2 linked regions of the Cricetulus griseus genome follow. The main gene of each other region encodes a partner of the protein of the gene in region 2 in a complex. Links are inferred from orthologs where the notes say so. Each region holds a gene or a part of one and is shown on either strand. Other genes may lie near its edges. The genes, in order: Flt3lg and Flt3.

Region 1 (2,552 bases), on a different chromosome or scaffold from region 2:
GCGGGAGGTCACGTGGGTCCCGAGGCGGCTTCGGCGGGACGGGGCCGTCCGGCCCCGGCGGCCATATTTGGAGGGAGCGCTGTTCGCTCCCGTATCCGCTGTGCGCGGCGCCATTACTCCCTCAAGGACCGGCGGCTGCGGAGCGCGCGGTGGCCGCCAGGGGGCGAGCGTAAGTCCCGGCCGGTCTCGCAGTGTCCGCGTCCCCTCCCTTCAACCTCATGGTGTGCGGACAACTGATGGCCTTTCTTGAATCTAGGAGTTTCCGAATGTTAAACCGGTGGAGGTAGTCACCCCAGAAGGAAGAGACGGTGGGAGGAAGGACTTGCAGGGTCCTGGGCCGCAGACACGTGCTTCTGTTGCAATGGCCTTTGTATCGGCTAAGCATGCCATCTGAGATACCCTCCCTGAGGGGTACCTATACCTCCCACAACAAAACACAGATTGGGCCGTCTCACTGACTCACTTTCTCTAGAGAACCTCCCCAAACTCCCCAGCCTGACTCGATTCCTCCTGGAGGCTCCAGCACTTTGTTTTCCTGCCACTTGGTGGCTTTATGATCTTGCTTCTGCCTCACATCGGGGTTCTGTTAGAGAGAGCATCACCCAGTGCTGACCCTGGGCCATTGGTGGCCTCAGAAAACAAACCTGTTGTCGTGGTTTTGGCTTCTGACATAGTATTTCTGCAATCCTGGCTGGCCTTAAACTTGAGATCCTGCCTCAGCTTCTGGGGAGGTGGGATTACATGACCAAGCCCCGCAAAACCAAGATCCTGAGACCTAAAGCAGCCCACCCACTCCCTGTCCCGTCCACAGATAGGTCCGGAAGATCTGGTAAAAACCATTTATATACAAATTCATGGGAGCAAGGAGTTTGTACAGAGTGGGGTGAGTGGGGCTGGGTCCTGATGTTGACTTCATCCTGGGGAGAGGGCTGGAGGGGCAGCAAGGTCCAAGAAGGGGCCAGGCTCTACCCAACTTTCCCTGTGTCCAGGTTGTGCAACATCTGTCAGGTGACGCCTGCTTGGCCTCAGTATCCTCCTCTGTAAAACTGGATCATCAATGGTCTGTCTGAAGACTGGAGTTCTCAGCACCCTTCAAGCCCTCTACCACTGAGCTTACACCCTCCCACCTCTCCCTGCCCCTCCCTACACCCACCCCACCCCCCTTTAGGCTAGCCTCGAATTTCTGTGTATTAGTAGATAACCCAGAATCCTGACCCTTCTGCCTCCCCTCCAGGGTGTAGGAACTCGGACTTGCACCACAAAATCTACTCCAAGTTTTTTGTTTTTGTTTTTTCCGAAGGGAGTCTTACAGCCAGGTGTGGTGACACACACCTTTAATCCTATGGCTGAGGAAGCAGAGGCTGGTGGATCTCTTGAGTTCCAAGCCAGCCTGATCTACACAGCAGTTCCAAATCAGATAGGACTACAAGAGACCCTGTCTCAAAACAAACAAACAAATAAACAAATCATGGCCCTCAAACTGGCTTAAAGGATAAAAGGCCTCGGCCACCAAGCCTGAAGGCCTGAGTTCCATCCCTGGGGCCCACTGGTAGAAGGAGAGCATGACCAACTCCTGCCAGTTGTCCTGTGACTTGTACACAGGCACCATGGTACACTTACACAGCCCCTATGTGTAATAATTTTTATTTGTTTGGGGAGGGTTGAGTGTAAATTTTTCAAAAGAGGAATTACTGTCTGGTGTGATAGTACATACCTGTGATCCCAGCACTCCAGAGGTAGAGGCAGGAGAATGGATTACCCAGGAGTTCCAGGCCATCTGAGCTACAGAGACACTAGTTCAAAAAATAATAAATAAATAGGATTGGGATTATAAATATGTACCACTATGTCTGATAAGTGGTGTGCATTTCAGAAACATGCCCAGAAAATGGGAAACCACAAAATTTAGAAACTTCCAGCTTGTTTTAACTAAGCCGACGGCGGGTCTAATTTGGCAGTGTAAATATTAAGTGCAGATGAAGTGTTTCTAGTGACTGTGTGGTGGCAGGTGGAAGCCAGAGCCTTATTTGTGCAAGGGCCCTGTCATCAGCTCCAGCTCAGCATTTCAATTTCTCACTGTTATTTTGAGAAATATCTCTAAATTGTCCAGGCTGGCCTTGACATTTGATTCCTCTGGAATAGATTCCAGGCATGCAGCACCATACCCAGAGCTGGGCTGACAGGAGAACCGCCCAGGGCTACAATGCTCTTCTCTCTCCCTTGTTCTTTCTCTACGTCAGTGCTCCAGCCTCAGAAGTGCTGGAACTGCAGATACTCATCACCATGCTTGGACATCATGTCCTCTGGGCAGGGGATGCAGCTGAGCAGCACAGTGTTTGTCTAGCCTGTTCCTTGTTTTGATCCCTACCTCTAGCATCCAGAAAACAATGAAAAAAGAAAAAGAAAAGCCTCATCTATAACATGTCTATAGGCCCAGCTATTTGGAAAGCTGGGACAGGAAGATTCATGGAGGTGTTCAAAGTCATTTTGGGCAACATACTGACTGAGCCATTGCAAAAAAAATAAGTGTCACTGAACTGAGTGTTTGTTTG
Region 2 (3,229 bases):
CCTGAGAAACGCTCTGGCAAAGAATTATGTTCCTTGGCTTGAACTTGCTTATCTCCCAGCAAATGATGAGCTAGCTCTTCCTTCATGGGAAGCCGTTACTGTTAGACTTGCCAATTCAGAAGCCCGTATCCAAGGTGACTTTCAAAGAAGCATGTTCTGCTAGGAGTGGTGGCATATCAAATATTTACATCACAATTCATAGCAGTAGCAAAAAATGCAGTTATGAAGTAGCAATGAAGTAGTTTTGTGGTTGGGGGTCACCACAACCTGAACTGTATTAAAGGGTAGCAGCATGAGGAAGGTTGAGAACCACTAGAACTCAGTTCCAGAGAGAACTGACACCCCCTTGTGGCCTTCTCTGGCACTGCATGCATGTGGTGCACTTAAATCTATGCAGACAAAACACCCATGCACATAAAGCTAAAAACAAAAACTTAAAAATCCATGATTCTGCACATGGGAGATTCACCATCCTCTCTTGTATTTGATGCAGGCACGGCTACCTGTGAAGTGGATGGCACCCGAGAGCTTATTTGAAGGTATCTACACAATCAAGAGTGACGTCTGGTCCTATGGAATCCTTCTCTGGGAGATATTCTCACTGGGTATGTATGCACATGGCAGGTCTCCCAGGGCTCTGGCTTTGTGTCTCCTGCTCCCTCTGCACCCCTCCTCCACCCTTCTGTCATCCAAGTCAGAAGGTAGGTGAAACACCACCCAGTCGCTCCAGTGGCTCCTGGCCTCGCTTCTGGCTTCTGTTGTCACTGTTTATGAGTTGTTGACCTGCCAAGATCTGCCTTAACTATGACTGATTCGGAGGCCTTGGGACTTCTGGGTCCACTTGCAGCCCTCAGTCAAGGTCACTGAGGAATTCTCTTTGCCTGTTTGCCAACAGAACATATAAACGTCAACAACAAAACATGGAAAACCAATGTTTGTGTGGCCCCATTGAGCTTGTGTTTTTCTCAGGTGTGAACCCTTACCCTGGCATTCCTGTTGATGCTAACTTCTATAAACTGATTCAGAGTGGATTTAAAATGGACCAGCCATTCTATGCTACGGAAGAGATGTAAGTACAATCAGACTGGGGGTTGATAGCAGGACATTTACTGTGTGCTGTAAATCTTCCAAATGCATGATACAACAATTGATTGTGGGGGTTGGGGATTTAGCTCAGAGGTAGAGCGCTTGTGGCAAGCGCAAGGCCCTGGGTTCGGTCCTCAGCTCTGGGGGAAGAAAAAAACCAAAATAACAAAAAAGAACAACTGATTGCTTTGTTTGTTTGGTTTTGGTTTTCTGAGATGGTTTCTCTGTGTAGCTGTCCTGGAATTTACTCTGTAAACCAGGCTGGCTTTGAACTCAGAGATCTTCCTGCCTCTGTCTCCCAGTTGATGGGATTAAAGTCATATATCACCACACCCAACTAAAAATCACTTTCCTATTACATTGCTTAGGTTTCTTCTTATTTTTTTTAAGATTTATTTATTTATGTATTTGGATGTTTTGTCTGCATGTACATTGGATCCCATGAGACAACAGTTACAGATGGTTGTGATCCACCATGTGGTTGCTGGGACTTGAACTCAGGACCTCTGGAAGAGCAGTCAGTGCTTTTAACATGTGAGCCACCTGACCCGGCATTGGTGGTGTGCTCCTTTAATCCCAGCACTGGGGAGGGAGAGGCAGGCGGATATCTGTGAGTTCGGGACCAGCCTGGTCTACAAGAGCTAGTTCCAGGACAGCCTCCAAAGCCACAGAGAAACCCTGTCTCGAAAAAACAAAACAAAACAAAACAAAAAAATCAAAAGACACATTTGAGCCATCTCTCCTGCCCTTGATCTCTAAAAGCAGAGAAAGCTTGGTGCAGTGGCACATGTCTTTAATCCCATGTAGGCAGGCTTTTCTTTTTGCACCACCAGCTGACAAAAAATGACATGGAGACTTATTATTAATTATGAAAGCTCAGCCTTAGTTTAGCCTTGCTCCTAACTAGATCTTGTTAAATAAATAAATAAATAAATTAACCCATATTTTTTAATCATCGTTCTCTTATGTGGCTCAGTTACCTTTATTCTGTGCTCCCCATCCTGCTTCCTCTCTGCCCAGCTGGTGACTCTGCCTTTTTCTTCCCAGAGCTCTCTCTATCCAGAGTCCCGCCCATACCTCCTGCCAATCACAGTGACACATCTTCACACACTGTAAAGGAATATTCCACATTTCCCCCTTTTGTCTAAATAAAAAAGAAAGGTCTGTTTTTGTTTGTTTGTTTTTTCGAGACAGGGTTTCTCTGTGGCTTTGGAGGCTGTCTTGGAACTAGCTCTTATAGACCAGGCTGGTCTCAAACTCACAGAGATCCTCCCGAGTGCTGGGATTAAAGGCATGTGCCACTACCGCCTGGCAAAAATAAGAAAGGTCTTAATTCTAATATGGTAAACCTATAAACAATAGGAACAGTTATCAGGTAAGAATTACATTCACAGGCTGGAGAGATAGCCCAGTGGTTAAGAACACTAGCTGGTCTTCCAGAGGTCCCTAGTTCAATTCCCAGCAACCACATGATGACTCACAACCATCTGAAATGAGATCTGGTGCCCTCTTCTGGCCTGAAGGGATACATGCAGACAGAACACTGTATATATAATAAATCTTAAAAAAAAATTACATTCACAATGTCCAGTCCAAATTTAGAGAAAATACTCCATTATCTATCCTATCTTAGTCCAAAGTTTTATACCTAAACCATTTTTGTCATGACTTACATTACATCTTTTTAGACCTTAAAACATCTTTTTAGATAAATAACTTAAGTTTTTATGTTTCTCAACCTTATAAACTTTACATCTCTTATGTAAGTTTTTTTTTCTGAATTTGATAACAAGGAAAACTCAAACTATAACTATCTAATCTTCAATCCGCAACAGAGACTCAAGAAGGATAAAATATTACCTGAGTAAGCAGGGAGTAGAAAGAAAGCAGTTTCCAAAACTATAGAAATGACAGAGACATTTGGCTGTCTGGAGAGTCACCCCAAGGTTCCTCTGCAATGCCACATCTTTACACAGTGTAAGGGTTTTCCACAGCATCCCAGCATTGGGAGGCAGAGGCAGGAGGATCTCTGAATTGAAGCCAGTCTGGTCTACCTAGTGAGTTCAAGAACAGCTAGAGTTTCAAAACAGTGATACCCTGTCTTGAAAAAAATCAATCAATCAATGAAAAGTTTCAAGAGACA

Evidence for each region.
Region 1: the proteins of Flt3 (region 2) and Flt3lg are in contact, whole or in part, in a crystal structure (PDB 7QDP), measured with the Homo sapiens proteins. The link is inferred for Cricetulus griseus from reciprocal best matches to the Homo sapiens genes FLT3 and FLT3LG. Residues at the interface, in NP_004110.2 of Homo sapiens: Asp180, His279, Gly280, Phe281, Gly282, Met300, Ser301, Thr302, Tyr303, Asn306, Arg307, Met309, Arg311, Ser333; in NP_001191431.1 of Homo sapiens: His34, Ser35, Pro36, Ile37, Ser38, Ser39, Asp40, Lys44, Lys87, Glu99, Asn102, Thr103, Glu104, His106, Phe107.

What each region holds. Positions count from the first base shown.
Region 1 is NC_048599.1:154,016,334-154,018,885, forward strand, and holds the end of Flt3lg (fms-related tyrosine kinase 3 ligand), read right to left. Parts: intron 1,794-2,552; exon of another isoform or gene 1,715-1,793; intron 1,047-1,714; coding exon of another isoform or gene 1,039-1,046; coding exon 913-1,038; 3' UTR 826-912; downstream 1-825. UniProt on the Homo sapiens protein: Stimulates the proliferation of early hematopoietic cells by activating FLT3. Synergizes well with a number of other colony stimulating factors and interleukins. Required for the development of B cells, and dendritic cells (DCs).
Region 2 is NC_048597.1:83,194,389-83,197,617, reverse strand, and holds part of Flt3 (receptor-type tyrosine-protein kinase FLT3), read left to right. Parts: intron 1-493; coding exon 494-605; intron 606-969; coding exon 970-1,069; intron 1,070-3,229. UniProt on the Homo sapiens protein: Tyrosine-protein kinase that acts as a cell-surface receptor for the cytokine FLT3LG and regulates differentiation, proliferation and survival of hematopoietic progenitor cells and of dendritic cells.